Drosophila melanogaster: one gene and its partners. Changing the gene in region 3 together with the main gene of any one other region gives a genetic interaction. Each region holds a gene or a part of one and is shown on either strand. Other genes may lie near its edges.

Evidence for each region.
Region 1: of kel (region 3) and Prosbeta5, changing one enhances a phenotype caused by changing the other (phenotypic enhancement), as found in Drosophila melanogaster (one study listed by BioGRID).
Region 2: of kel (region 3) and hts, changing one suppresses a phenotype caused by changing the other (phenotypic suppression), as found in Drosophila melanogaster (one study listed by BioGRID).

Annotation. Positions count from the first base shown.
Region 1 is NT_033778.4:10,814,188-10,824,028, reverse strand, and holds Prosbeta5 (proteasome beta5 subunit), read right to left. Parts: upstream 4,052-9,841; 5' UTR 4,031-4,051; exon of another isoform or gene 3,968-4,030; 5' UTR 3,957-3,967; coding exon 3,810-3,956; intron 3,748-3,809; coding exon 3,046-3,747; 3' UTR 2,851-3,045; downstream 1-2,850. Other genes in the region: CG12325 (uncharacterized protein), read right to left, coding at 1-90, 146-258, 312-329; CG12343 (uncharacterized protein), read left to right, coding at 766-1,446; RpS15Ab (ribosomal protein S15Ab), read right to left, coding at 1,824-2,216; Lsm10, read left to right, coding at 2,419-2,844; dgo (diego), read left to right, coding at 4,929-4,988, 5,055-5,480, 5,536-7,833; CG7222 (uncharacterized protein), read right to left, coding at 8,919-9,000, 9,067-9,155, 9,438-9,746, 9,815-9,841.
Region 2 is NT_033778.4:19,418,115-19,429,274, forward strand, and holds the start of hts (hu li tai shao), read right to left. Parts: upstream 6,790-11,160; 5' UTR 6,709-6,789; intron 6,001-6,708; exon of another isoform or gene 5,684-6,000; 5' UTR 5,480-5,683; intron 492-5,479; 5' UTR 443-491; intron 1-442. Other genes in the region: CalpA (Calpain-A), read left to right, coding at 7,931-8,104, 8,233-8,277, 8,516-8,692, 8,754-8,830, 8,900-9,024, 9,087-9,207, 9,264-9,504, 9,563-9,793 and 3 more. UniProt on the Drosophila melanogaster protein: Required for assembling actin at ring canals in developing egg chambers. Probably interacts with other developmental proteins involved in nurse cell/oocyte transport through the ring canals. Important for normal neuromotor function.
Region 3 is NT_033779.5:18,128,669-18,140,034, reverse strand, and holds kel (kelch), read left to right. Parts: upstream 1-1,951; 5' UTR 1,952-2,103; coding exon 2,104-2,558; intron 2,559-4,059; coding exon 4,060-4,461; intron 4,462-5,208; coding exon 5,209-6,421; coding exon of another isoform or gene 6,422-6,447; intron 6,448-6,509; coding exon of another isoform or gene 6,510-7,072; intron 7,073-7,425; coding exon of another isoform or gene 7,426-8,453; intron 8,454-8,514; coding exon of another isoform or gene 8,515-9,261; 3' UTR 9,262-10,151; downstream 10,152-11,366. Other genes in the region: Socs36E (suppressor of cytokine signaling at 36E), read left to right, coding at 1-190; CG5758 (uncharacterized protein), read right to left, coding at 11,091-11,366. UniProt on the Drosophila melanogaster protein: Component of ring canals that regulates the flow of cytoplasm between cells. May be involved in the regulation of cytoplasm flow from nurse cells to the oocyte during oogenesis. Binds actin.

The DNA of each region.
Region 1 (9,841 bases), on a different chromosome or scaffold from region 3:
TTGACTGCGATGAGCAGACTTCCATCCGGGGAAAGAGCTATGTTCGTGTAGTTATACCGCGATTCCAGGGACAAGGTGCGCGATTTGTTGCTGCAAAGGAATAAAATATATTCATGAAGTCTTTGGATTTAAAACGGTAACTCACTTTTTTAAATCGTAGACCGTTATCCTATTGCCAACCGGACTGATAACGGAATTGCCATCCGGTGTGAACACCAAGTTTCCATTACGATATATTGTGCCCAACAGGTTGGAAAACTATAAAAACCAGACATTAGCAATTTGTAGTATTAACTTATGAGACAAATTACTTTGTAGGAAAACTTCATATTGCGGCGGGCTTTTAACTAAAACCACGAGCTAAAATATAAACAAAAACTCCCGCACGTGTTGAGGTAAACAGCACATGAGGATGGAATTGCACTAACGCATTCTTAAATCCCGCAGCACAGTATATACCACAACGGTGACAAACATCGAATAAAGCAAATAATAAGCCACGTCTTTATAAGAATATATAACATAATACTTAATTTTTAAAATACTTCATTGCTTAAACTTTAATTTTTTGAATTCATGTTATAAAATAATCACTTCACATTTACGGTAACTGTCATACCAGTTGTTTACTGTACTACGCTCCGAAACAGATGTTTTTACTGGTGCTGCCAACGCGGCCCAAAACCGACCAAAATATCAAAGAAAGGAAAACAACGCATTTTCACAATTTCTAAAAACAAAACAAGTTTTTAATAAAAATTACCTATGGAAAAGACGAAAACGGCTGCCGAAAAATTGGCGGAGCGCAAGGCGCGTTTGCTGGACCTACACAAGAAGCGCCAGGAGGCGCGTACGGACAACCACCAGGAAGTGGTGGCAGAGGACGCTCGCAAGAAGCTCCCCAAGAACTGGGAGGCTCGCAAGCGACAGGCGGAATGGATACTAGCGGACGACAAGGCGCGAGCCGAGGCGCAGGCAGCTGGCAAGGATTACGAGCGTTTGAAGCTTTTGGAGGTATCCGCTGTGGATGCGGATCGCATTGAGAAAAAGAAGAAGCGTAAAGACAATCCAGATCTTGGTTTCTCCACATACGAAGCTCAAACAGCTAGACAGTACAACCGATTGGTCAAGAGTATGCCTGCTCGCGATTTGGAAAAGTACGAGCGCCAGAAGGAGGAACTCGGTGACGCCTTCTACGGTGGAGCACACACCACTTTGCATTCGAGGACGAAGGACACTCCAGGTGCTATTAACAAAATGGTAACAGACCTGGAGCAGCAGATAGAGCGCCGCAAGAAGTACTCTCGCAGGAGGATCTACAACGACGATGCGGATGTGGACTTCATCAACGAGAGGAATTCCAAGTTCAACAAAAAGCTGGACCGCTTCTACAGCGAGCATACAGCCGAGATCAAACAAAATTTGGAGCGGGGAACAGCTATTTAAGTTTAGTATTTTATTACCCTTAAGATTAGAGTTCAATTTGTGCACGTATAATTTTTGCAAGTGCAGTTTACATGAAATTCGCCTATAATACCACACAATCGTCCAATTGTTTACACATAAAAGTTTAAACGTAGGAAATGTTGAAGCTGGAAGATTAAAAAGTAAACTCATTATTTCGATATTAGATGTCCAAATTTTTCATTTTATTTCGCGTAACTTTGTGAACATTCATCGTCGTTTGTTTTCTGAATGAACGTAGTAGCGTTTTCGCCCTTTGTTTCCTGTGCACAAAGTACATAGTTGGATGCATGGTCGGTGAAATAAAACGTCAATCTACATATCAAACTCCATCCCTCTACGATGTGAACTTGGTGTCTCTAGAAGAAGAAGCCGAGAATTTTGCCTCCCAAATGTTTTCTCCTAGCCTCCTCGTGGTCCATGATGCCGCCAGAGGTGGTGAGCACAACGTAACCAAACTGACGCGAGGGCAACAGATTGTTGGTCCACTTCTCGATGTCGTTGATGGGCGCATCGAAGCGGGGCGAGATGACGCCGCACTTGTTTAGCCGACCGGTCAGGTTGACAACGATCTTGCCGGCACGGTGATCCTCGACGATCTCGAATTCGCCGATATAGCCATGCTTCATCATCACGGTCAGGAACTTGATGATCACCTTGGAGCAGGGACGCAGCAGCACCTGCCGCTTGCCACGCTTCTCGGCGTTGTTTATGCACTTCAGGGCATCGGCCAATACGTTCATACGCACCATAGCTGGATTTGTTTGCCAAAACTGTTTTACACGACCGTCACGCAAACGTGAAAAAGGGAAAAAACCTTTACTTGAAAACTTCCGTAAGTACTTCTCTTAGATGTAGTTCAAAACTAATTAATGAAAATGTCAAATTACTTATGAAGCGAGTTGGCAGCTCCGTGTCCAAGAGCAAACACTTATTTTTAAACATATCGATATAATGCAGCAGTTTAGTGCGCGGGAGAAGTATTTGGTGTCCAACACCTTAAATTGTTGGCCCGTGATGCTGCAGGGTCATTCCGTACTGATCGATCTGCACAACGAGACCTCTGTGGCCGGAATCATCGATGTAGCGGATGGACACATGACCTGCGAGCTCACCCATGCAGTTTTCATCGATCGCAATGGTGGTCAGCACCCCTTTGATCACTTTATGGTGCGGAATCGAATGATACGGCAGATCCACATACCTTCGTACTTGGATGCCGAGCAGGAACTTCGAAGCGCAATGGAACGGGGAGTCCTGCGAAGAAAGCGAGTGGAAACCAAGGGCGGAAAGCGGACATTCAAGCAAAAACGAGCGGAAGTGCGACACAAGGAAACATTGCAAATGATCTCACAGCAAAAAAAGAATAAGGAAACCTAAACTATTAATATATGCGTACTTGTTATATTTACCAAAAATACATTACATACATACAACTACATTTATAGTAATAAACCTATGAAAAGCAAAACAAATTAGCCCAATCAATTATACACAAAACATAGTCTCTAGCACGTTTATTTATTCCAAGAAATTCAAACGTATACAAACTGAATATCTTATATTCCCTTAATCAAAACTCTACTTAGCGGCCTGCTGCTTCAACTGCTCCTGGTACATGTAGTGCAGCTCCATGCAGTCGGTGTTGGAGATGTTTACCCAGCCGTCCTCCTTAATGTGATACACGCGAATGATACCACCGGAGTAGGCATCCCTGAAGGTGGCATGGTAGATGGCGCGACGTCCCAGCTCCTGGGCCTCCTTGTCCTCCAGGTCCCAATGATAGCCAGAGTCCAGGACACCGTAGGCGTACAGCGATCCACTACCAACAGAGAACAAATTGCCAGGCGTGCGAGATCCCTCGGAGTCCACATAGTAGAGGCCTGGACCACGCTTATCGTAACCGGCCAGCATCATGCCCATGCTCAGACCCATTCCCTTGTATTCGTGGGCAATGTTGGCCATTATCTTGCTGGCGGCGGCCACCGAGATGCGTTCCTTGTTTCGAAGCTCGTGAAGGCGGCATTCCTTCGAAAGGACCCTGTCCCAGTAAACGCAATCGGCTGCGCCACCGGCCAAGGTGCCCAGCATGAACTGATTGATCTCCACGATCTTCTTCATCGACTGGGAGCCAATGTACGATCCACCCGTGGCACGGGAATCGACTGCCAGGAGAACGCCGCCCTTGAACTTGAAGCCCAACGTTGTGGTGCCGTGATCGAAGTTGATTTTGACGCCGGTCTTGTCGCCATTGGCCTGGATCTGATTAAGGTTGTGCAGGGGCTGAGGAAATTGTCAAATTTTTTAGTAAATTTCCCAAGAAGATCAGCTAATTAACTACATACGTTCTCGAATGGCGGAGCAGCCAGTGTGTAGGGATTGGCCAGATTGCACATAAGCCCTTTTTGCTCTTCCTCCACATCCGCCGATGACCAGGCATTGGGCCGCATGTACGGAGCATTCGATATCTTGCAGATTTCAGCTAAAGCCATTCTTAAAGCTCCTTAAAAAACAATTGGAAACGTTGAATGCGAAATGCCGATGACAAACAAAATTCGTTGCCTACTTGTAGAGTGACCGTACTTCTGTTGGAGCAATAATGCAGACTATCGGCTTCACCGTTAGCTGTCGCAGGTACGGCAACCCAGCTCGAAACCTGTTGCCAATTTTGCCTGTGATTGGCTTTCTTTTAGTCTCTTTTTAGGCCTGGCTTGAAGCCAAATTAACTCTGGGCGTTCCATCAATCCATCAATGGCCAAATACTGCAAAGTCGGGTACTGAACAATAGTCGAAAGTAAACATGTGTAAATACGTGAGAGTGGCGAATTGCAATGCGTAAATTGCGGTCCAAAGACGGGATTTAAAATTAGTGAAAAGTAAGTCGGGAATCGAGAAAACCTAGGCGCACTTTAAACCTGGTTTTCAGGTCTAGAAATTTACTGTAATAGTGTTGAACATTTAAGAAACCATACATGTTTTATCAATGTGTTATAATGAAAGACATTTAATCTACCCTCAAAAAGGTTGTATTTCAAATTACGAGTCCTTTATTTGATCGCTTTTGGTAACTCCCACTTCTATTTGTAATGACAATTACTACGTGGTACGCCATTACGTGAGGCACACATACATGCGCATACACGGCTAGAAAATGTGCGATCGAAGATCAGATTCATTTGATCCCAGGTCAAGTTAAGCTCTTTCGTCGTCAACAAGGTTATATCAAAGAATACCATCTTTCATATGATTTTCGACATATAAACGATTCTAACGGTAATTACGGTACTTTAAGTAAGATTTTTCATTTATTAAAGACAAAATGTAGTTCTAATATAAATAATTTTTTTAATTTTATCTGGTTTTGATAAAGTGTTACTTAAAAAGTTATAATTGCAACACATCATGATAAATGAATGAAATTATAATTTAACAAATTTGATAAATAATGAATATTTTCGCAGACAATGCAGCATGGATCCTCCCGCATTCCGAAACAGGAAGCTCTCCCGAATGCGATATCCGGGGTAAGTAAGGGCACTTGCCTGAACCAACAAATCTTACACCGATGTAACTTCTTTTTCTGATTTAAGCCCGACTCCAGCAATTGGACTTCGCTGCACGAGGCGGTAGCCGCCGGAGATGATCGCCGGGTGGAGGGTCTCCTGTTCAGCAATGCTGATCGACTGGCCAGGGAATCCGTGCAGGGGAATACCCCGCTCCATGAGGCCGCCAGTCGGGGGTTCAGTCGCTGCGTGAAATTGATCTGCACGCCCCCCACGCCACCCGCTTCCTCGGGGGTGGGAAAAGCAGCAAAGGGACAGAAGGACAAAGACAAGGATAAGAACAAGGGCAGAGTGAAGGTGGCCCACCAGACCATCGAAGCCCTACACAATAGCGCCCTGGGTATTGCCAACAACGAAGGGTTGTCCGCCCTGCACTTGGCCGCTCAAAATGGTCACAATCAGAGCTCTAGGGAGCTACTGCTGGCCGGCGCCGATCCCGATGTCCGGAATAATGTAAGTGTTGGATCATATCAGTGATAACCATGTTTAACATGTTTAACAATTTCAGTATGGAGATACTCCGCTGCACACCGCCTGCAGATATGGACATGCAGGAGTCTCCCGGATCCTGCTCTCCGCCCTTTGCGATCCGAATAAAACAAATCTGAACGGCGACACCGCTTTGCACATCACCTGTGCCATGGGTCGCAGGAAGCTGACAAGGATTCTCCTAGAGGCAGATGCTCGGCTGGGCATTAAAAACGCACAAGGCGACTGCCCCATGCACATAGCGATCAGGAAGAACTACCGTGAAATCATCGAGATCCTGAACACGCCGAAGAAGATACGGAATCGCAAGGAGAAACCCAAGGAGGGCGGCAGCAGATCGGACAAGGACAGAGATCGTGAAAGGGATGTGGTGGACAAGGGTATCAACTGGTCACCCTATGGCTGTCACTACTTTCCCGATCCGCGTGCCTTTCCTTCACCAAAACTGGAGACACTGCCCAAGGAGCCACTTAAGTCGGGGGAGCAATACTTCCTGGATTTGGCTGGTCATATTCACAAGGGTCCGGTCAGCGTGGGCAACACATGCTATTGCGGTCCCTTCTTCCGTCACATTGAAAACAAACTAAATTGCAATCGAAAGAGTTTGAAGAAATACGTTCACAAAACCAAGGAACGTCTAGGTCACAAAGTTCAGGCATTGGCAATCAAGACGAACGATCAGATTGAACAGCTCACAAGAACGATGATCGAGGACAGATTGCGATGCGAGAGCAAGAGGCAGCACCTCAGTGAGTTCCTGCGACGAGGTGAACCTATGCGGTCCACCTTCGATCAGCAGAACAAGAGCTCAAGGATCGAAAGAACAATGTCCAGGTGCCGCAGTCTAGAGCTCTTGGAAAACAACCACGAAGGTGGTAGGCTCACCAACTCACGGAGTGTAGATGTCCTGGAAGATCAGGCAGTGGAGGCTATAGTACACCGATCAGCGGAGGTCCAGGTGGATAGCGACAGCGATGACGATTCCAATGAAGCTCGGGATGAAGAAGAGGCAGAAGTGGGTGACAAGGACCAGGTGCAAGAAGAGGCGGAACCAGAGGAGCACTCGAAGCTAGATGAACTTAAGCTAGATTTCCTAAAAGTCTCCGAAAGACTGGGAGTGCTTTTAGAGAAAACCACCCTGATCATGGAAAGGGACAGCGAACAGGAGAGCAAGCGCCAGCTTTCTTCCTTATCGCCACCTTATAATCCCCATCCAAGGGCGGAGTCTGCCCAACTTCGAGAAGATAAAGAGAGTGTTAATAGTCCCAATTTCGACGAGTACGCCAACGTGATACGACGCTATCCGAACTCCAGTGAGACCTCAAATCCCTCCCAGAACTCCAACAGCTGGGACTGGGAGGCATCACCCACGGGCAGCAATCCCCACCCGGATTACAATAAGTACTACCAGCGCATTGGGAGAGGAGAGAACATGCTGAACTCGGTGATCAAGGCGCTTCGAAAAGATGCCTCCTTCGCGGATCTGGGCAAAGAGGAGACGGCTGTCAATGAAACTGCCGAGGGAATGGGAGGCGACAAGCTGCTCTACAAGGAGCAAGCGAGCGAGGCGGCAGGTATCTCCAATCTGATGAAACGGCAGCCTCTTTGCTTGGAAGACAACTATCCCGTCATGTCGAATTTATTTTACTCCAATCCCATCATGGAGTACGCCGAGGAAACAGAAGTGCGTCAAAATGGCAATGAAAGTATGAGTAAGGTGGAGATTCGGAACAGTGAAATCAAGTGCCTAAAGAAGCCGAACGCTGGTCAGGTGAGGGATATGGTGGCCCAACTGCAAAACACCATTGACTCCAATCGACAGGACTCCCAGACGGCACATGTGATCGCCGCAAGATCACACTCCCGCTTGAACAATAACTTCCATCACTTGGAGGGCACCTCTTCGAACCCTTCGCCCACGTATAGTATTCCCCACCGGAGTAGCGCCCAGTTTGGGCTGCCCGAGAGACACATACCCAAAGATGCTTACTTCCATGAACTGCCCCACCGTCCACCGATTCCGCAAACTCCGCAGAGAAGGCTGCACTCCGGCTACGTACCAAATGCGAGTCTCTATCGCAGTGAAGATCTTTACGTGGGAAGGATTCCACATCCAAATGCTCCACCAAGACAAGTGGACTACGTGGATGCGGTAGCCTATAGGCCTCTGCAGTCCCCCACCTTTCAGGCCATTGTGCCGCCCCATGTTAATCAAAGGCCAAGGAACTGGCCTCATCCCAATCTTCCATCCAATGAAATCGATCTGGACGAGCTGTCTGCCGTTGGCCTCTACAACAATGTCTCGAGTCTAGTTTGAGTTCGGTAATCCCACAGCTGTTCCCATTGTACATAGCTAATCCCTACATATTTATCTTAATTGTAATCAAGTTTTAAACTACAAAGAAAAGTTAACTTATTTTCAACTGATGCATCTAATCTGGAGGGTCTAAAATATATAAATATAATACAAAGATATATGTACAATAATTTTGTTGTTTTTTGTTGAGGAGTTTTGGGTCTGAGTGTTTTCATATTCTGCGTAATTTATGAGAATATCGTGTACTTAATTATTTGGTTATTCCACTTTTGACCCCAAAAATACCCAAAATATTAAAAACGTTCCAACCTGCTCGCTTGTAAATCAAACGCAACCGAATGTTTTCGATCAAAATATATTTTTCTTTAAAAATGTTTAATAATAGTATTTATGCATGTGTAAATATCAGAATGTCAAGTACATATATTTATTGATAACAGATCATTTTGGTGTTTTGATAGACATGCGGCTTATGAACTCTGTATAATTGTGTAAACGAAATCAACCAGGAAATCATCTCAATAATCGAGCTCCGATGTTTGGTGGGAATTCAAAAAAACCAAATCCCCACCGCTGACAAAAGTAAACAAGTAAATTGGGCAACATTTTGATATCGTTCACCAATATGTCTGCGGTATTGTTAGTACAATTTTAGCAAGTGCCTAATGATGATTTCTCGATGTCTTCGTAGTTAATTTAAAATTCTATAAATGACACTGCTGCTGAACGGCGCCTGCTACTTAAATTTATCGGCCACTTAATAATATCTTAATTCTGAATAGTCATATTACAAATACAAATTACAATAGCCAATAATTTAGTCACTTCGCATGTATGTATAAGTATGTCTCAATGTAGGTTTGTTCTATGTAAGTATGTATATGTATATCGCCTAATTTAAGTCTATTAATAATAGTTGTTGCTTTCTATTTAGGGGGCGTTGTTGGCTTGGAAATTGATGTGACATGAGTAACCCGGCTTTTTGCTCTGCGTAACTTAACAATGTTGGTCTCAGGACTGTTGTTTTATGTGAACTATGATCGCTTGTGTGTCGCCAAGTGACATATTTTCGGTCAGGTAACGTCTCAAAGGGGACTGTTGTCGGAGTCTTCGCGCTCTTGGATTGTGGTAATGCTTTGCTGCAAGGCATTCGGTGTCAGCCATTCTCTAAAAAACAACATAGAGTAGTTAATAATCATGAACTTGGCTTTTGTTTCACTTAGAAAGGCTTACTTTGGCAAACATCTTTGTAGAAATGGCACACAGGAGCTGAAATGCGCTAGACGATTGACCCAGCTGGGTATTTCTTGGCCGCAAAGTATCTAGAACGAGTAATTGGAATTGCAGATATAGTCAAATGAATATTCATTTGGGCTTTTAAGCTTGCATTTTCTTGCTCCTAAACTCGAATCGTTTGGAAGCATCTAATTGTATTGGACGTGTTTAGGATGGTAATCTGTCCTACTTTTTGAGGTGATTCACAATAAGAACTTCTGATTGTAACAGGCGGTATCTGACAATCGGTGAATCATGCATAAGCACACCCAAAATATTGCTTGATATTGGATCCACCCAGTGGAAAGTTTCCTCGATTTATGTCTCACCTGAGTTAATGAGCCCGAGAAGTGGTTGCAATTGTTGTTCATGAGATGATATCGGTCGCCACGGAACTGATTACCCAGCTCCTCGACGATACGTCGCACCTCCTCGTACGTAAAGTCGGTGCAGCCGATTTGGATGCTCTGCCGGAACTGGAACTGATCGCCCAACTCGTCGTGATCCCTCGGTGAGATCTCGAATACCCCCGTAAACGGAAATGGATGTCCGCCGTATGCGAATTCGGTGCCAAAGGCTTCTACGCCGGAGTGAAATACGCCCAGGCCGATTGAGGTGGTGTACTCGTTGATCCAGTACTGCAAATGCAAGGTTACATTTATCGTTGTGCGATGTCCGCATGGGCAACAGGAGTAAGTAAGCTTACCATATCGTAGACATTGAGTATAACAGG
Region 2 (11,160 bases), on a different chromosome or scaffold from region 3:
TAAATCTATGCAAAAAGAGGAAAACATCTCCGCTTGAGTGCCGTACAAATAGTTTATTTCTCTTTGACGGTCACGTCCTCGATTAGTTCTCAATTAGTTTGGCAAACAATACAAAATAGAAAAAACAATGAAAAATAGAATAAAAACCCGGAATATAATTAAATATCGCTCAAGTGTGGCGTAAGCGAAAAGTTCAAAGTTGAGTGAGGTGTGGTTTCCTCTTCTCTCTGAATTTAACTCAAACCTCTCCTCAGCAAACAAGAGTCAATAAATACGAACGAGAGCCTCAATCAAAATGATTGCAAAAACCAAAAGCAAATATGTACCGGCAGATAAAATATAAAATAAGTCAAGAGAGGGGTTTCGAGTTTGTTTGCTTCGTTCTGTTATTGTTTGCTTGCTTAGCACTTGACTCATGGGCGTGCACAAGACTAAAACTTACCTTAAAATTGAATTTGTTGCGTGGTTATAATACTTTTATATTGATGTCCCTGCAAAGAAGCATGAAAAACGATTTGAAATTAGTAAACGTGGTTAAAGTTCAATAGAGTACGATATTTATGTAATAATGTAACTTTTGTTTTTTTTTTGCTCAATCCCAACAAGAAAACGTTAAGTTAACAGAATTAAAAGCAATATTTTATCAAAATGTTTCACAACAAACTAACAACTTGTGCAAAATTCTATACTGTCAACTTCCTGGTATTTTGGCTTAATAAAAAGTAAGTACTTAATTGGCTTTCCATGACAAAGTACATATTCTATAACGAATTCCCCGAGCAGAGAGCATTTTCCCTTTTCTCGGCCGATTTTCTCGTCTTTCATAGCAAACAGAGAGTTTATTGAGATGCTGTGTCTGCTGTTCGGCGGTCAGCGCCTCTTTTCGATGATGTCATGTGAATATTTTTAGTTCGAGCACGTTAAAAGATTTTCGTACTACTCGTTATTTTATATTGCGGTTCGCCCAGACACACACACACACACACACGAGTAGATAGTAAACAATACAATCATATGAGACGACTCTCCCAGCAAACAAAATAAAATAATTTAATTATCGACGGGTAGGCAGGCAGAAAGCATAACTGGAATTCTTCGCCAGAGGAAAATCACTACATGGAAAAGCGAGAAAAATTTGCATATAAATTACTAACTGCATTACGAGCTGATAAGCATATGGGTATGGCCGAATAACAATTCAATTTGATTTAATAACACCTTTCTTCGATGCGCTCAGGTGATCTTGCACATTTCACTTGCCACGCACAATTGCAGTCTAATGAAATTGGCCAATAAATGCTCTCTAAATGTTTATGCGTGAAAGCCCAGACACGAACGAAACAGCATTGCTAATGCAGTTTAGCCGCTTCTGGTGTTGATTTACAAACTCGGAGGATATAAACGATTATGTAAGCCGCCTCTTTCGTGCGCTACACAATCGCTTTTTTCAACCTCCCCCATTTTTTTTTTTTTGTAATATTTCTTTTTTTTTTTTTTTGCATTATGAATTCATTTATGCGGCAACACGTTTGCGCTTATTGTTGCTTCAGCTCAGCTCACAGCTCATTGTTATATGCCGATGATAATGATGATGGTCTTTTTATAGAGCTTTATTGTGTTGCCCTCGTGTTTGGCAATGCTTTAGTGCAGAGATTGTGTTCGAAAAACCAGATTTTTTTTATCGACATTTGTGCCCGGTACAAAAATGGGTTAGCATTTAAAAAGAGGAAAATCATCTGACAGGGTATTTAGAATTAAAGGTTGACGGAAGAGCAGCAAGCAGCAATTGCAGTGCCATTTATTGTATTATGGTCAGCCACTTGTCACGTTTGTACAGCCACAAATGTAAATTACACTTAATTCCATAGTATTTACATTAATTACAACAAAGTGTGGTAATTTTAAGATACAGGAAAAAAATAAGAACATAAGAACTGGTTCCCATTTCCCACGCCCACACAACCGGAGAACGAAATTAGCCTAAATTCCAGTTTAAATTTAGTTCAGTCGGATCAGACCACCATAATAACAGGCTTTCAATCACTTTCGGTCGACAGAGAGGGGTATATATGCAATGAAAGAGAGGAGAGAGAATACAATTCAATTGAAGTTCAAGCGCAGCGCAGATGAAATGCAAGCAAGAAATGTTGAAGAAGGCAAGAAATGCAGACACACAGCTCCATCATCATCATCTTCCCATCTTAACAGAAATTGTCTACATTTTTCTCCGCTTCGCTCCCCAACTTTTCGATATAATTATCCACATTGTTTTGCTTTCCTTCTGCGGGTCGCCAGCTTTTAAAGCTGAAATAACAACAGCAAACAGTGACAAACACAGTTGACTGCACTTCAAGGCATTGTTTGAGTAGGGAGATCTTTATCTTTTACATATGATGTGGATTTAAATATTTTTCAAAGAGTTCAGAAAGCTTTGAAAAATGCTGGATGCTTTTCTGTTCGGTTTAAACATTTTAACTTTACTTAATATCCATAAATCTATCTCAAAACTGAAATATATTTAATACTAAAGACTAACCGCAAAGATGCTGATTGTTTTTTTTTTTTACTAAATTAAGTTTTTTTTATATGCTTCCAAGCAAAACCTTTAAAGGGTGTAAAAGCTTCGACATGCTGACAACTCTTTTTCTCTCTTTTCTTCCAAGATTTATGTTGTGTTGCAGCAGTTTGTTGTTGCACGATGCGGCCGTGCTGCTTCTGCAACTGTACATTTGTTATTGCTTGTCGCTGTGCATGCCGCTGTCTCTGTCTATCTCTTTAGCTGGGTTTCATTGCCTGGTTTATTGTTGTTCTTGCTGTTTTATTGATGAGCTGCAGTTGTTTAGCCAGCAGCAACATCTCTCTTTTTTTTAATCTTGCTTATGTGTCTCTGTTTTGAAGCTTGGCACGTACGCCTCTTTTATTTATTTATGTGTGAGGGTTTTCAGGCTGGCTATCTCCCCTTCATTTTCCCGTCTCACTCTGTTGCATCTTCACGTCAATTGGCTTTGGGGCAGAAACAGAGTAGAATTTATTTTTCAGTTTTTAGGGAGCCATAAATTTTGAGCATTCGCTCTTGGACAAATTTGTTTTTCGTCTTAGCCAGAGTTGCCAGACTCGCAGAGGAGCTCCACTGCAGCCACATTAATCAAAATTATTCAGCTTAATCCTAACCATTTTCAAATCAATTAATCACAAGTGATGTGACGTCAGTGGGAATTTTGATAAGCACACGCTTGAGTAAACAATTTTCAGTTCCCAAATCAAAAGTCATTAGGACTGGTTGGCCCCATCAAATGCATTTGCATTGACGGACACGCCTCAATAAAGGTTAGAAAGTTAGTCTTTTCGTATACTTGAAGTGCATTTCTTATCGTTTTTCTTATTTGTTTTATTTGTTATGGTTTCGGGGGCTCACAATTTCGAATTTCCGTCTCATTTCCATTCCAAAACATTTTTTGTTGTTTAGTTTCCTCAACAATTGTTTACAGTTTTAACTATGCACTTCCTCCCGTGAGAATGAAACGCACACAAAGAAAAAAAGAGGCAGTCAATTTTATTTTGGTTGACCCGTTGACTACGAAAACATTCAGAATTTTCCAATCCGTAAAGATTTCGTACTTTACTTTATGTTGTTTAGGTTATATCATATTTCGTTTTTTTTTCTGTGTAGATACTTTTATGTGTCACTTTTTTTTAGCGGAAGCAATCGTTTTTGTATTATTTTTGTTGTCTTTTTACACTGAGTCTGCTTCACCTTTTCAGTATTCGTAGTGCAAATGGAATTCAATACAAATAATGCCTCAACGATTTTCGAAAATTCTCTAAATGCAACTTGCGGTGTGCAAAAAACCTCAATTGAAACCCTCAACCAACGAGTCACGTCTAATTTGCGAATTGAAAACGGACAACAGAGCAAGAGGAACAAGTGAAAAGCTTGATAAGGGGTGATAAAGGGGGAGGCAGCATAAGCAATGAATAAATAAAGCCCACTGCCCATGTATTTCTATGAGTAAATTCGAATTAGCAACAAAAGCCAGCAAACAAAAAGAGCAAATTTTTATTTTATTTTTTTACCTTTTTTATAAGCAATGTGTGCGAAATGACGTCATGTATCGCAAAATATGTAGCTAAGGCAAATGGAATGCTCGAATTTGATATGATGAGTATATAGAACAGGAAGTAAGGTAATAGAAATCGAAGAATGTTGTAAATAGGTAGGTAGTTAGTTGGTGGCAAAGGAGAAATTCCTTATAACTTAAATTGGGAATGTTGTTGGCTTGTTGTAATGTGGATATGTAGGTACTTGTATAGAAACAGCAATCTAACAAGAAAACGTAACCAGCGCGAAGGTTCTGATAAGATTGCGGGAGAGCACACACACAATCGAACTCCTATGACTTGCATAAGAACATCTATAGAAGGCTATATATAAAACAAAGTTTTATAGGAAACATTGCTAATTTAAATTATATTAAATTCTATAAGCGTAATGTTTCATTTAAGCATAGCGCATTGAATTGGGTTAAAGAATAATTAAAGTAAAAGGTTATCAATTCCTATTCGTTCAAGATTACAATAAATTACAGAAATATCAAGATGGGCTCTGAATGACAACAAAAAATTTAAAAATCGAACTGACTGAGTATCAAGAACTACCTCCGATACCTATAAAGTCTATTTTGTAGGCATTGGGTTGCACTGACAAATGGCATAAACAAGTTTTCAATATTTACAAATCTGTTTATCACTTGTTGCTGCTTTTCACTATTTACTTTGCTGAAAGGCGAGAGACCAAGGAGGAAAAGTGGGTCATGAAACTTGCCCACAGATGCGCGCCAGCAGGCGGATTTATTGCCCAAGTGCATTAGGCACACGGCTAGAGATTTGCAAGTGGCATTCGCAACAAATTGCCAAATAAAAGATGAATAAAATCAGCGACGAGAATTGGAAAATGGGTTTTTTTTTTAATCTGACAAGCGCATAGAAAGCCGGAGGTAGAAAGAAGCATGAATCATATGGAAAGGAAAAGCACACGCACACACAATCACACCCACCCGAAAAAAGAGAAAGAGAGAAGAAAAGTGGCTAGAACTAGAAGCTCAAACAGTGGCGTCTGAATGGGGGTCAATGTGGTGCTACACCTTAAACATTTGCTCATATTTCCGGATAAATTTAAATATAATATGTTCTTGATCTTAAATGACATTTATGACCCCTGAATAATAATCTGTAGTTTCGCCACTGTCTATGAAGCATAACAACAAAATAGACACACTACTCACTCACACACGCCGTGTTGCGTGAGCTTGACCAAACCCAAAAAACAAAAACAACACTTATTAGAGAAGCACAAAAGATGGCGTCACCGGCCGAATTGCCGCTCATCGTCATAACGGTTAAAACGAATGCAGGGCACGAGGGGACATTCACTATTTAACGGGATTATAACACATCATCCGGTAGATGCAAGAATACTCACCGGTACTTTTAGTATTCTTTTAAATTCGTTGATCCTCCAGTGGCCGCTAACACAGGCACAGGTCACAAATACAACGGTCACACTCACTGTATGTGTTAGAGGAGAAACGCACGCGTTTTTTATAAATGTATTCTCGCTCTCGCACCTCGGTTTTTGGTTTTCAGCCGCTAATTCGTACAAACACACATACGCCACAGAGGGAGACTATCAATAAAAGGGGAGGGAGAGGGTAGAAAATTTTAATAGATTTAACTTTTTATTGCCTTGAATGCAATATGTTTAAAATAAATAATTTTGTTCTCTTTTGGGCTTCTTGCACTACACCAAATAACTGTTAATATTTTTTTTTTTGCAAAATTGCCGCTCCTAACAGCACTTAGCACTTTTAATTCTTTGAATTAAATTTTAGTTGCACCGCAGCGAATAAATATTTCAAGTTGAATTGCCTACGAGAACTTAATCCAAAATCGTACGGACACGTCCGACGGGCAGAGCACGAATGAAGCGCAAAAGAGAACTGCGCACGGACAGTGGCAAAGAAGCCGAGAGAGAGAGGGCGGGCAGTGTTAGGCAACGTCAAGTGGAGATGTTGAAAACAACTAAACTGAAGTAACTTCCAGACAAACTGGCTTCCAAACGGGGTTAACTAAATTCGGTAAACAATCGAAAAGCATTAGTTTGCCTTGCAAATCACTCAAATTGCGCAAAAGTGTTCAAGAGAATACGAGAAGAGAGCGAAGGAAAGTGGGAGAGAGAAAGAGAGTTCTTCATCCTGCAACGCCCAAATATACACGCTTGTGTGTGTGCGAGAGAGTGTATGGGGAGGAACGAATATTTGGAGCAAAGCGCAGGGGAAAATAGCGGTGCAAGTCCTTTTTGCCACCTTGACCACAAACAAAAAACGCCTTTTTTGGCGCTCTCTTCGCACTTTTAGGTATTCTTCGCACAAAAACTATGTCAATTAAGCCGCACACGTCGATTATGTCATATTATTTATACGAATACACTTTCACACACAAGCGCCGCGCCATATACACACATTCGTGTCCGTGCGTGTGTGTGTATGAACGGCGTCGCATTCTCGTCACCGGCAATGCCGTGAAAAAATCGATGGTCAATTTGCTGTACGGGTGTATTCGCCTCTATTTTCTCGTTTCATTTAATAAAGTCTATCACTAATTTTAGAAGCCCACTAATTGGTCAATGGGTTCGATAAAACCACTGCTTACAATTTGTAAATGCTGAACTTCACGAAATTTCGCCCGCGTGATGTGTTTCGTTTTCGATATTTCGTACTACGATTTTGTTAGGGATGGACAAACCTGACGCATGTCAATGGGTCGATATTTGTTTGAAATATCGATGCTCTTATCGAAATATTTTTCAGTAAAATCGGGCGATTATCGATATATTTACATTGAAATAGGGCTGGCAAATCACAAATTTCGGCAAAATACTTCGATAAAAATAAATACCAAAACATTCGATAGCAGTCAGGTGTTGAGCTACAGATATAAATATTTGTAGTGAGTAAATATCTCCGTGCGGTGAAGGTGCGTGGTTCCGTTACTTTATTGTTGTGCTGTGATTTTGGGGAGTGAAAGTGCGTGATTCGATTCGGAAATCGTTCTCTCGACCAATCAAGGTCCGTTGGAAAATGGGCAAATATATATAGTATTAGAAATATCAAGTGCCTATGACGAATATACTATTCTTTACGAAAATATGGTGGTCACGGGAATGAGCCAGGCCAGAAGAATGCATTAATTACCAAACCTGTTTGGGTTTCGCCGTAGAATTACCAATGTTCGCAAATACAATAACAGATGGGTCAGCCAATCTAGCATATTTCGCCCCAATTAAAGGCCAATTTACTATTGTCACAGAAATATATACCCTATATGTGTCGTACATATGTAGTAGTTCCATGGGTCAATGTCAATATCCCGGCTTAATATGGATAAAAAACGAAGCTTAATCTCCCGAATGGCGCACACCCTTTGAGTCACTAGAGAATCTCATGCTTCCGAATGATGTCACACAATATAGCATATATATATAGCGGCTACATATGTATAAATACAGCATTGTATATGTAGAAACATTTGAATTATATTTGGGTGCGAACCGAGACATTCTTGTCTCCAAAGTATAATTTCAGTTTGCGTGAATTAAAGTAATTTCATTTAGCCCGACTTCCAGTCACACTGGGAATACTAACGATTCTGTAATGCTCGTTAAACCATATTTATGTCTCTGGGTGTGCTTTTAATTCCACCGCGAGGCTTATAAGTAAATATGGGCGATATAAAAAATATTGGATGTTGCTAACTAGTCATCAAATGTTTGAACAATAAATATTTATTAATGGGTTTTTAATCTGAGGCGGCACCTTACACTGCTAACTGATATTAAACTATATATGTACATATATTTTCAGATATCTGCACGATGGACGACTTGAGGGGATTCTTGAGGCAAGCGGGACAGGAGTTCCTCAATGCAGCTGGTGAGGCTGCAATGGGAGCGGCCAAGGATGTGGTCGGATCGGTGATCAACGAGATCTTCATCAAGAAGGAGGCCGACACCAAGAGGGTTCTGCCCAGCATCAAGAATATGAGAGTTGTAAGTTGACCCACACGGTTATCAACAGTTATTTATAGGGCGCTATACTATACTAAACAAACATAGAAAACAATCCATTGAAATCTACATATGCATGTTAACAAATACATATACATTCCACTCATTAGCAACCATTGCAATCTCAAAGTAATAGTACGTTGTACTATGGGAACGTAAGTACCTACTCCCGTCATCGTAATGGCATTGACATAATTCCATTCCAAGGATAATGCGCTGCCAAAGTGTCGTACTGTGTTGTCCTTGTGTTCTTTTTCTTTCGCATGTAAAGTGTAAAACGCATCATCGTTTATACAACTCCATTACACAACTTTATCGTGTACATACATAATACTCTTAATCAAGTTCATCAATTTTGTTAGATTCATATCACTAATAGCATGTATTTTTTAGCTGGGAGAGAAGAGCTCGAGCCTGGGACCCTATTCCGAGGTGCAGGACTATGAGACAATATTGAACAGCTGCCTGGCCAGTGGTTCCCTTTTCGAAGATCCACTTTTTCCGGCTTCGAACGAGTCTCTTCAGTTTTCCCGGCGTCCAGATCGTCACATCGAATGGCTGAGACCTCATGTAAGTTTTAGATACTACCATATTACCCGTAACTAAAGGTATAAATGCTTTAATTATAAAGGAAATTGCCGAGAATCCCCAGTTTTTTGTGGAGGGTTATTCGCGTTTTGATGTTCAGCAAGGCGAGCTTGGTGACTGGTAAGAACAAAATCTCTATTTCCGCAGCCAGAATAATTAATAGTTTTAAATAAATGCTTACATTTACAGTTGGCTCTTGGCTGCCACAGCCAATTTAACTCAGGAATCCAACCTTTTCTTTCGGGTAATTCCAGCGGAACAGAGTTTCGAGGAGAACTATGCTGGTATCTTCCATTTCCGCTTTTGGCAGTATGGTAAATTATTTATTAAAAAAATTATTCATGCGCTTCTTACAATTTTAGTTTAAAATTTTAAGGTAAATGGGTTGATGTAATCATTGATGACCGTTTGCCCACTTATAATGGAGAGCTGATGTACATGCACTCCACGGAGAAGAACGAGTTCTGGAGCGCCCTGCTGGAGAAGGCTTATGCCAAGTAGGACTACATTATTCACATACTTTATGGTCAACTGATGTATATATGCTTTCTAGACTTCATGGATCCTACGAGGCACTAAAGGGAGGCAGCACTTGCGAGGCCATGGAGGACTTTACTGGCGGCGTATCCGAGTGGTACGATTTAAAAGAAGCACCCGGCAATCTATTCACCATTCTGCAAAAAGCAGCTGAACGCAATTCCATGATGGGATGCTCGATTGAGCCTGATCCAAATGTCACGGAGGCAGAAACTCCTCAGGGCTTAATCCGTGGTCACGCTTACTCCATAACCAAGGTTTGTTCGGAAAATTGCTATGATAAGAACATTTTATTAATTAATCTTATGTCAACAGGTTTGCCTTATTGACATAGTAACGCCAAATCGTCAGGGAAAGATCCCTATGATAAGAATGCGAAATCCTTGGGGCAATGAAGCCGAGTGGAATGGACCATGGAGTGATAGCTCACCAGAATGGCGCTATATACCCGAGGAACAGAAGGCGGAGATTGGACTAACATTCGACAGAGACGGAGAGTTCTGGATGTCCTTCCAAGATTTTCTTAACCACTTCGATCGCGTGGAGGTAGGACTATTAATATTTCTTGGTGAAATATTTCATGATTCATTCGCCATGATTTTGTTCAGATTTGCAATTTGTCGCCGGACTCACTGACCGAGGACCAACAAAACAGTGGCAAGCGAAAGTGGGAGATGTCCATGTATGAGGGAGAATGGACACCCGGTGTTACAGCTGGTGGTTGCCGCAATTTCCTGGATACCTTCTGGCACAACCCCCAGTATATTATCACCCTAGTCGATCCTGATGAGGAAGACGAAGAGGGACAGTGCACCGTCATCGTGGCCTTAATGCAAAAGAATCGCAGATCGAAGCGCAATATGGGAATGGAGTGTCTGACCATTGGTTTCGCTATCTATAGCCTTAATGATCGCGAACTGGAAAACCGTCCCCAGGGTCTGAACTTTTTCAGATACAAGTCTTCTGTGGGAAGATCGCCGCACTTTATCAACACCCGCGAAGTACGTATACGGATATATCCAGGATATGGCTGCAATCACTTAACATATGCGTTTCTTATTTAGGTGTGTGCTCGCTTCAAATTGCCTCCTGGTCACTACCTGATTGTGCCTTCAACTTTCGATCCAAACGAGGAGGGAGAGTTCATCATTCGAGTGTTCTCAGAAACTCAAAATAACATGGAGTGCGTACAAGTAGACAATGACAATGAGTTTGTATATTAGAAATAATGAGGGGTTTCTATAACTAAAAGCTTCTTACGTGCAATATGTGGTATGTTGTGACTATAGTATTCTTTAATCTCTAGTGCTAGTAAATGTTTGACTAGATTTGTTTCTTTACCCTCTACACATTCCTGACAGATAAGTTGGTTATGCCATTTTTTAATCACTCCTCTTATATATATTTTTACCTGAGATTAACGCCTGCAGTATTCCAGAAACTCGAAATATATTTCTTCTAGATAAATTCAAATGTAATGTCGGTCTGTCTGTTACATGTTAAGAATAATTCTGATCAATATGAAGTTCAATTTTCTTAATTTATCAGTTATAAAAAGGGTGGCGGCAGCAACATAGTGAAATCTATTAACAAAGTTAAATTTTTCGGTTTATTTTTAACCCTTGTTTAAATTGTATTTTTGTCATGTAACGAGATATTTATTAAAGTAATAATAAAGGAAACTTCCACAACAATATACTTTTAAAAATGGACCCCAACAAATTAAGCTCATCTTGAAAATCTGCTTCTCAATACTCATTAGGCCATTCGAAATCCTTGTACTGTAAATTGTATTGTATTCCATTTGTTTCTCTATAAACGAATTGTTTTCCATTCATTTCAATATCAATCATTTCGCTTTTCACTCCCATCTAGAGAGAATGATGATCATGTGGGTTATGGCGGCAAAGCCG
Region 3 (11,366 bases):
AAGGCAGACCTTCTCCCTGCAGCAGCTCTCCCGGGCGACCATTGTGTCCAACACCAGCTACGACGGGATCAACCAGATGGAGCTGCCCGGTCGGCTGAAGAGCTACCTTAAGGAGTATCACTACAAGCAGAAGCTGCGCGTCAAGCCCATCGACCAGAACACCCCGATGCCGTACTACGGCAATGTATAGCGGGAGGAGCAGCAGGTGGGCTTCACCTACTACGAGGACGTGGAGAGCGGCAGCGAGGTGGACGAGGACGACGACGAGGGGGTCAACATACGGGTCTCCTACGTTCAGCACGCCGAGGTGGTGGCCCAGCTGCAGCAGGTCACCACGGCGTCGGGCCCATCGGCTCCGTCCTCATCCAGATCGTCCAATCTTCAGGAGCACCTCAGCAGGCTGCCCAACCGCATGGCAGCCGCCTTTGGTCGGATGTCGGCCAATCTGAATTGCTACCAGAAGACTGTCGCCACGCCGGAGCGTCACTCCAACTCCTCCTGAGGATCAGGACGTGGACGGAGGGGCAAACAGAACCCAGAAACCAAAACTCAAACTGAGACAATCCCAGTGCAGCGTGTGCCGCCACCATAAGTTAAAAGATCAAACGCGAAGCCACATAACAAAATCGCTAGCTCGCTACTACAAGACTGTCATGGATCAAAAACCAAATGTTCACCATATATATCTCACCTATTGGAATGCAGCTCGGACGGATTTTTGAGTTGTGGCACTCTTGAAAGCGAGCTGGTAGAATGTAGAATCGAAATCGCAGTTAGCTAATTGTACTATAAACTAAGTATTATTATCTAAAGCAACCCTCTCTCCTACACACATAAGTATTGCAAAAAGAAGGGCCAATCGAGCTTTTCGTAATCGCTGGTATTCTTGTAATATTTCATTGTATTTATTTGAAGTATGGAATCTAAATGATGTGTTACTGTTACGTGTAAATACGAGATACGAATGCAGCTTAGTTAGTGTAAAACTCTCTCATTAGCCAAATTTCCAAATGTAATTTTCGCCTATTTATGAATATACTTTATTTATTTATTCGAAGTGATTTCGTTCGCAAGCGAGTGCTTTGTTTAAAAAGAAAAAACCCGTCAGTTGTACACGTGTAGAGCATTTGTAAATACTACCGATTTTCGCATTAAGCTGTAGCTATATTAATATAATGAATTATAAATCATGTATTCCTACCTAGGTGGTTGCTGTTATTCGTAAACATTCAATAAGCAGTTGTTTCCAATACCTATTTAATGTATTTTACATATCTCACATGTTGATGAGCATGCGTATCAATATTCAAAAACAAAATCGAAAAAAGAGTCAAACAAATAAAGTTGATCAAGATATTAGAAAAAATCTCAAAGTGTGTTTTGAATCAGAAGTGTGGAATCATAATCAACCCAAATGATTGATGTATTTTAATATCTTTAACAAATGAATGTTTAACTCATTCGTTATTTTCATTATAAAGTCGTGAATTCTTTATAAAATGAGAGTAATCAACTAAAATCTATAGATTTCTATTTATTTTATTTTATATCTATAAAATATCTATAGATATTCTATCAAGATTATGCTGAACTAAACCTTTTTTACTTTCTTTTATGGAATTCGAATATGCAATCTTAATGAATTCTGTGTCGCATATTTGTAATCTTTTTGCAATTTTATTTATATATTTTTATAAGATGAATTAGGTATGCTTTTTTTAAGTTTAGGTAAATGTGGAATATTAGTTTGTATATCAATTTAAAAATCACACTTTTTGAAACGTACGTATAAATAAAAATTAAAGGGGAGAGGTCATATTTAAGATGTAATTCAAGTGAATTACAAAAATTCAAAAATTAAATGACTTTATCATTAATTTTATAGTTGGAAACAAAGCCAGCTCAGTGAGAACTGGTTGAAAATGCCTATCGGACTATCGATGAGTATTCATCGCTAGTGGTAACTTGCGACCAACCCGAGGCTGGTCACACTGCTCTGGTCGCGTCCAAAAAGTGTACAATTTTTCACCACCTCGGTTTGTTTTTTCGGACCAGGCGAGGCACCTTCGATTCGCTGCGACTTCCGTTTCCGATCCGTTTCGGATGATAGCTCTGAGTGCGCTGCTAACCAAATATACGATCGGTATTATGAGCAACCTAAGCAATGGCAACAGCAACAACAACAACCAGCAGCAGCAGCAACAACAACAGGGTCAGAACCCACAACAACCAGCACAGAATGAAGGCGGAGCGGGAGCGGAGTTCGTGGCGCCACCGCCCGGACTAGGTGCCGCAGTGGGCGTGGCAGCCATGCAGCAGCGCAACCGCCTGCTGCAGCAGCAACAGCAGCAGCACCACCACCATCAGAATCCCGCCGCCGAGGGAAGTGGCCTGGAGCGGGGCAGCTGCCTTCTGCGCTACGCCAGCCAGAACTCCCTGGACGAGAGCTCCCAGAAGCACGTCCAGCGGCCAAATGGCAAGGAGCGCGGCACTGTGGGGCAGTACAGCAATGAACAGCATACGGCGCGCTCCTTCGACGCCATGAACGAGATGAGAAAGTAAGGATGGCACGAGATCCTGTCGAAGGATCAGTTCGTACGACTATAAAATTTGGTTAAGTCCTTAAGCATCATAAAGAAGTAGCCAGGGTTTCTAAAGACCTTAAGGCAGTATATTTAGATCCACAAATAGTATTATATCCTAATTCCTACCTGTGAGAGGTTTTAAAAACCTTAGGTAGAACATTGGTTATTTTGTACCTGCCCTGGAGAATAGAACACACAGCACCCACATAGGACTTTTAATGATATGCAGAATTAGATCTATGTGATTTTATAGCCTGATTATGTAAATAAGCACACCTACAACGGTTCGAAAAATGTTTCAAATGTCATTTGTTTGCTCAACAGCAAACCAGCTGAACGTTCGTTCAGGTTCTAAAAAGGTGTCAGCTATTTCCCAGTTACTATTTCCTTGACAAAACAAGCTGATCTGAGTTTCTACCACTAAAACTTTCAGTTGTTAAATATGACGACCTACCTCAACTTAATATAAATAGAACTGTGCTAACTACACTCTATTATAAACTCATCTCCTCTGTTCCCGGACAAAGGCGCATGATTCAATCCCTGCGTGTTCGACGGGAACAGGTGGACCGACTGGCTCTCGAGCTTTGAGATTTGGGCCAAGATGCGAAAATAAAATCTCTGAAAATGTCAGATGATCGTCTCTCGCATATTTGCGCAGTTCGCTTTGTTTATCTGGCCGTTGCTAATATTTGTGTTTGCACACTACATATGTATAAACGAATATTTGCCGCCGCTTTTGTCGTGGGGCCATTCGCATTAATTATTGTCTAGTTTTTATTATGATGAGTTGCTTACGCCTTCGGGTTTCGCATTGGGCCACGACCTTGAACTTGGTTGCGGCCAAAAATGATATTCGTTTTCGAATCGCATTTCGATTCCGCTTCCGCGTCTCCGCCTTTGCTTACTTTTTGGAAAACTACTGGGCGTATGGAAAATTTATTGGTAGCTTACATAAAACGAGTTTTTTTTTTCGGACCAATCATATCGTATTCGGCGCGAAAGTGAATGTGGTATAACCCAAAAAGTAAGCCGAGCGTTGTAATGTGGATTGCTTTTTGATTGGGAATTGAATCACACAAATATTTCGTGAGGTGTATATTCTATGAGATTTTTTTTATTGGGTTATAATTATAACACCTTACGATTTTGAAGACAAAAGATCTTAGTCTTTTCGAGTAGTCATCATCATTTAATGGCGCCATAATTTGCACAGTTAATAGCATCCCCGTCTCTTTTTACAAAACAAAATATTTTCCTCTTGAAAAAATTCAAGCACTTTTGTTTACAAACATACATACCAGCCTTGAAGATATTTAGCACGCTTTTAAACTGTTTATTTGGCAATCAAAACGATCTATTGCTAGTGGATTTCAAAGTCTCAATATTGTCGATACATGACGGTTACTAACCAATTTACTGCGTACAAAAAAATGTATCAAATCTGATATATATATATTTTTACCTATAACAGACAAAAACAGCTCTGTGATGTGATATTGGTGGCCGACGATGTGGAGATCCACGCTCACCGCATGGTGCTGGCCTCCTGCAGTCCGTACTTCTATGCGATGTTCACCAGTTTCGAGGAGTCGCGGCAGGCGAGGATCACCCTCCAGAGTGTCGATGCTCGGGCCTTGGAGCTGCTCATCGACTACGTATACACTGCCACGGTGGAGGTAAACGAGGATAACGTGCAAGTCCTCTTGACCGCCGCCAACCTGCTCCAGCTCACGGATGTGCGAGATGCCTGCTGCGACTTCCTGCAAACTCAGTTGGATGCCAGTAATTGCCTCGGCATCCGGGAGTTTGCCGATATTCATGCCTGCGTGGAACTTCTCAATTACGCAGAGACCTACATCGAGCAGCATTTCAAGTAAGTGGCTAGATTGTGATGACGCAGTATGGGCAGACAAATATAAAATTGTTTTGATTTGCCTGTTTACAGATAGGAATCCATTACTGTATCTGTTCAGTGTTCACTTTTAGAGCATGTATATTGGGAAGACTCACTTTAGTTTGTTCTATATCTACGGATAGTAATTCGTATTTAAATTCCAGTGAAGTGACTATTTATTTATTATTTATTGAGGATAGAAAGCTGCCGTACAACAATATCAATTGAATCGATTAATGGGATCAGATATTTTAATAATTATAGTAACATTTAATAACATGTGTCAAGTTAAAGTTCCTTAGACTCAACAAAAAGGATTTTTAATTATATTATAAAAACGATTAAATTCCTAGGTGTGTTTGGAATGTATCAAAATTTAAATAGTTTAACAGTCACGCATTGGTGTCTTCCAGCATCTGTTTGAAGTCGCTAATTTTGGGTTTCCATAAGATCACGAATTTAATCTTATATTAATTATATTTTCGAATTCAACTACTGAATTAGTAATAACCAAAGTATCAGAATTATATAAGTTCTCATTGATTTCATCAGGCAGAAACAAAATTAGTTAATTATTAAGTTTATATAACAGTAAACAGACGCAAAACCGAAAGCAAATGTGCAATATAAACCATTGAACCGGTTGCGATTAATTAAATTTACTTAGCCCACTCCTCTCATTCCTTGCGCCCCATTACTAACTGCTTGTGTTTGGTTTATTTGCAGCGAGGTGATCCAGTTCGATGAGTTTCTGAACCTCTCGCACGAGCAGGTCATCAGCCTGATTGGCAACGACCGGATTTCGGTTCCAAATGAGGAGCGCGTATACGAGTGCGTCATCGCCTGGCTGCGCTACGATGTTCCTATGCGGGAACAGTTCACCTCGTTGCTCATGGAGCATGTGCGTCTGCCGTTCCTGTCCAAGGAGTACATCACACAACGTGTGGACAAGGAGATCCTCCTCGAGGGCAATATCGTGTGCAAGAATCTCATCATTGAGGCATTGACCTATCATCTACTGCCCACTGAGACAAAGTCCGCTAGAACGGTGCCCAGGAAGCCGGTGGGCATGCCCAAGATACTGCTCGTTATTGGAGGACAAGCACCCAAGGCTATACGATCGGTGGAGTGGTATGATCTGCGAGAGGAAAAGTGGTACCAGGCCGCCGAAATGCCCAACCGCAGATGCCGCTCCGGCTTAAGTGTCCTGGGTGACAAAGTCTATGCTGTCGGAGGTTTCAATGGATCACTGCGTGTGCGCACCGTAGATGTCTACGATCCTGCCACGGATCAGTGGGCAAACTGCAGCAACATGGAGGCCAGACGATCTACCCTGGGAGTAGCTGTCCTCAATGGTTGCATATACGCCGTGGGTGGATTCGATGGCACTACGGGTCTGTCGAGTGCCGAGATGTATGATCCCAAGACTGACATCTGGCGGTTTATCGCCTCCATGTCCACGCGTCGCAGTTCTGTGGGCGTAGGCGTCGTCCACGGACTTCTTTATGCCGTGGGCGGTTACGATGGCTTCACTCGTCAGTGCTTATCTTCAGTGGAGCGCTATAATCCGGACACGGACACATGGGTTAATGTGGCGGAAATGAGTTCGCGGAGGAGTGGCGCCGGAGTGGGAGTGCTGAACAATATCCTTTATGCCGTTGGCGGTCACGATGGTCCCATGGTCAGAAGATCTGTTGAAGCCTACGATTGTGAAACGAACTCCTGGCGTTCAGTGGCAGACATGTCATATTGCCGGCGAAATGCGGGAGTGGTGGCTCATGATGGCCTGCTGTATGTGGTCGGTGGCGATGATGGCACCTCAAATCTAGCTTCTGTGGAGGTCTACTGCCCGGACTCGGACAGTTGGAGAATACTGCCTGCTTTGATGACCATCGGACGCAGCTATGCGGGCGTGTGTATGATCGACAAGCCCATGTGAATGGAAGAGCAGGGTGCATTGGCCCGGTAAGTCAATGGAAGCATTGTTACCAAAACAAATTATAATAATCTCTCTTGTTTCTTTTCAGCCAAGCTGCTTCGTTGGCCATCGCACTGCTGGATGATGAGAATAGCCAGGCGGAGGGCACGATGGAGGGCGCCATTGGTGGTGCCATCTACGGTAATCTGGCGCCGGCTGGTGGGGCTGCAGCGGCTGCAGCTCCAGCTGCGCCGGCTCAAGCTCCCCAGCCAAATCATCCGCACTACGAGAACATCTACGCGCCAATTGGACAGCCCAGCAACAACAACAATAACAGCGGCAGCAACAGCAACCAAGCTGCAGCCATCGCCAATGCCAATGCCCCTGCAAATGCCGAGGAAATTCAGCAACAACAACAACCAGCTCCCACTGAACCTAATGCCAACAATAATCCGCAACCGCCAACAGCAGCAGCTCCAGCACCATCACAACAACAACAACAACAGCAAGCACAGCCACAACAACCTCAACGCATACTGCCCATGAATAACTATAGGAATGATTTGTATGATCGATCTGCCGCCGGCGGAGTCTGCTCCGCCTATGATGTTCCGAGAGCCGTGAGATCTGGCCTTGGTTACAGACGCAACTTTAGGATTGATATGCAGAATGGTGAGATTAAGAATAATATTAAGCAGAAGACAGTTACACTAGCTTGATTCGTACTTTTAAGTATGAAGTGCTCAAAAGTTGTCTTTCAATTAACCTCTTTTTGAACGGTTGCTTGTGCTATATAACTTTGTACGTATCGGTTTGCCTTCATTTTCGTGAATATTTTAAGCAAACAGCCTTTTTAAATGTTGTGAGGTAGGAAGCAAAAACCATTTAAACTTCAAAACAAACACGAAGTTCAAATCAATTATTAGTTCTTAACGGCCCACATTTAAATCAGCATTTAAACGCATAGTTTCTAACTTTTCGTATAACAAATGAATTTTCATTAATCGCTATATTTTCCACTCTAGGAAATCGATGTGGAAGCGGTCTTCGTTGTACTCCACTTTATACGAACAGTCGATCCAATTGTCAACGCCAGCGCAGTTTTGACGACACTGAGTCCACGGACGGCTACAATTTGCCTTACGCCGGAGCGGGAACAATGCGATACGAGAACATCTATGAGCAGATTCGAGATGAGCCACTTTACCGCACATCCGCTGCGAATCGAGTTCCGCTCTATACACGTCTCGATGTTTTGGGTCATGGAATCGGAAGAATTGAAAGGCACCTTAGCTCGTCATGCGGCAACATCGATCACTATAACTTGGGCGGACATTACGCGGTATTGGGACACTCGCACTTCGGAACCGTGGGACACATTCGATTGAACGCCAATGGATCGGGAGTAGCAGCTCCTGGCGTAGCTGGGACCGGCACTTGCAATGTTCCAAATTGTCAAGGTTATATGACAGCAGCTGGATCCACAGTTCCGGTGGAGTATGCAAATGTTAAGGTTCCTGTGAAAAACAGTGCCTCCAGTTTCTTCAGCTGCCTGCACGGTGAGAACTCGCAGAGTATGACCAATATTTACAAAACGTCTGGAACGGCAGCTGCCATGGCTGCCCATAATTCCCCATTGACGCCAAATGTGTCCATGGAGCGAGCATCCCGATCGGCGTCCGCGGGGGCAGCTGGATCAGCAGCAGCAGCTGTTGAAGAGCATTCTGCGGCAGATAGTATTCCAAGCTCATCCAACATTAATGCCAATCGGACAACAGGAGCCATTCCGAAAGTGAAAACAGCTAACAAACCCGCTAAGGAGTCGGGAGGATCCTCCACGGCCGCATCGCCAATTTTGGATAAAACTACATCCACTGGATCGGGAAAGAGCGTAACCTTGGCGAAGAAAACTTCTACAGCAGCAGCACGCTCGAGCTCATCTGGAGATACCAATGGCAATGGGACTTTGAATCGTATCTCCAAGTCCAGTTTGCAATGGCTACTAGTAAACAAATGGCTGCCGCTGTGGATTGGCCAGGGACCCGATTGCAAGGTAAAAAACATTTTCTCTTCTTTTTACCTCGAACGAATCTGACTATGTACGTCCATATTAGGTAATTGACTTCAACTTCATGTTTTCCCGTGACTGCGTGAGTTGCGATACAGCTTCAGTGGCATCTCAGATGTCAAATCCGTATGGCACACCCCGTTTGAGTGGTCTTCCCCAGGATATGGTACGCTTCCAGAGTTCCTGCGCTGGAGCTTGTGCGGCAGCCGGAGCAGCTTCTACAATACGAAGAGACGCAAATGCATCAGCTCGCCCACTGCACAGCACTTTGAGTCGCCTGAGGAACGGTGAAAAGAGAAACCCCAATAGGGTGGCTGGTAACTATCAGTACGAGGATCCTTCCTACGAAAATGTGCACGTTCAGTGGCAGAATGGTTTTGAATTCGGAAGATCCCGCGACTACGATCCCAATTCCACCTATCATCAGCAGCGCCCTCTGCTGCAACGGGCTAGATCGGAGAGTCCCACCTTCAGCAATCAGCAGAGGCGACTTCAGCGGCAAGGAGCTCAAGCTCAACAGCAATCGCAGCAGCCTAAGCCTCCTGGGTCGCCAGATCCCTACAAGAACTACAAACTTAATGCTGATAACAACACCTTCAAGCCTAAGCCTATCGCTGCCGATGAACTCGAGGGAGCTGTTGGTGGAGCTGTAGCTGAAATAGCGCTTCCTGAAGTGGATATCGAAGTTGTAGATCCTGTCAGCTTAAGTGATAACGAGACTGAGACAACCAGCAGTCAAAACAACCTTCCAAGCACTACCAACAGCAATAATCTGAACGAGCACAATGATTAAATGTGGATAAAATAAGTTGCTTCTGGTAGATCAGCGTTGTAGTTAAAATATTTAAGTATGGAGTTAAACTTCTCTCAAACTCATAAATTTTGTACGGCTTTTACGATTTTATATTAAAAGTAAGCTGGGTTTTATATTTATATTCAAAAGTGATACCAGTTTATAGTAGAAAGACCAGTTTTTACTTCAGTTTTCAATTCGCTATGTGCAAGGAATTTTTGTAAGATTTTATGTCTCCAGGGACAGAGAACTTTTACTGTGCGGAATTTCTAATTACAACGCTGCTCTACAAAATTGGATCTCAAAACAATACAAGCATAACGAATCGACCAAATGAACTTCGAGCAAAATTATAAATTCATTTTAAAAATCAAAAAGATATACACTTAAACATTGTAGAATTTGATATTACTCTAGAATCGGGCGACTTTGTGTGACCAGCCAACGCTCAAGATCGTATATTATTATGTTGCATACTGTAGTTGTAGTTGAAACAAGAATTTTTGTGTGTCATGTCGAGTTATAGGTAACCTAAGAGCCACATCATATCACTCTCCGTAACCACTTTAAGCAATATGCATTTGATATGATAGTTCCATTATTTTTCCACTGCCTACTCAAATTTCCATTACCCCATGGCATTTGGCACATGGACCGCTTCGTTTCAGTATGTTAAGTTATGGCTTTAAACCGGAACAATAATATTTAGCCAACTATTGTACAAGCTCTCCACTAGAATCCTATTGTTTAAGTCAATTAGAGTTACAGGTATTATTTACATGCATATACATATATACAAGCGCATATACAATACTCCAGATCGGTACATAAATATAATCATACTTACAAATGTATTGAGTTTAACTAATTCATAATAAAATAGTTCAACGAAATGCTATGCGACTGGAATTATTTTTCTGGAAGATTTTTGTTTTTATTTTAACAAACTATTATAAAATTGGATGCTCCGTTCTCATTGCTTTGTTGTTCATATACACAGATACATTAAATATCAATACCGTAAATTAAAAAATACAATATCTGTTCGTAATATACTCGTTCTATAGATATATCATGCCAGGGATTTTTGCGTTTGAATTTTGGTCGCTCTAGGCTCGATTCGCCGATTTAGCCGATATGTTTTCCTATGCTCCCTCATATGGATAGACTCAAAAAAGCATAAACACTGATGAGCGCTAATGTGCATAGTATACGTATATTTTTATATTTTTTGAAATTTTGCTTCTAAATCCAATATTACGGGAATGCTTTATTCTTACTCGTTTACTCTTTAAATATTTGTAGTAATTTGTTGGCTGCAATTTCTCGCTATGTCTACAAGCTTTGTCTAAATCGCTGATAAGTTCTTTAGGATTAGATTTTATATATTTGCTGTTGTCGCTGCTGCTGCTGCTCTTGATGTTGACTTTGTAGTATACTTCGTTTCACCGCCTCGTTCAATGCTAAACTTAAAACATACATGAAAAACTAAGAACTAAACTAGAAAAATTCGTTACAAAATTAGCCCAGAACTATACAAAAACGCTTTTAGCGCTCGCCTCCCTCTCACATTCGTTCCTCTAACGCAGATCAATTGCAAAAAAATATTGTACATACTGCTAATTAATTGCCAAAATAATATAAAGCGACAATAGACTAATTGTCGAAGGGCCTGGAATGTCTCCTACTTCGGAAATAGACTGATACAAGACTCGAAGGCCGATTGAGGGATCCCAAAAACAATCTCAAAGTGCCGCCTGTGTTATTTTCGCATTTACCATCGCGATATATATACTCTGACACTAACCCAGCTGTCATGATCCCGCCCTTTACTTGGGCAACTCATAGATCTGGACGGGCAGCGCCTTGGGCGTGATAATCTCATCCTCGAAGTCCTCGTCATCACCGTGGATGGCATAGTCGCCGCCATTGTGCTCCCCCTCGAACTCGTTGGGCACGATTTCCACGTCGCTGGGCCGCGAGGTGCTCCGTGATCCTCCGCCGGAATCGCTGCCGTGCCGATTGGATCTCGTCTTGGTGGACTTGCTTACGAAGTCGCGCAGCATGTGCGAGTACAGGATGTCGTCCAGGTAGTACATGGTGCC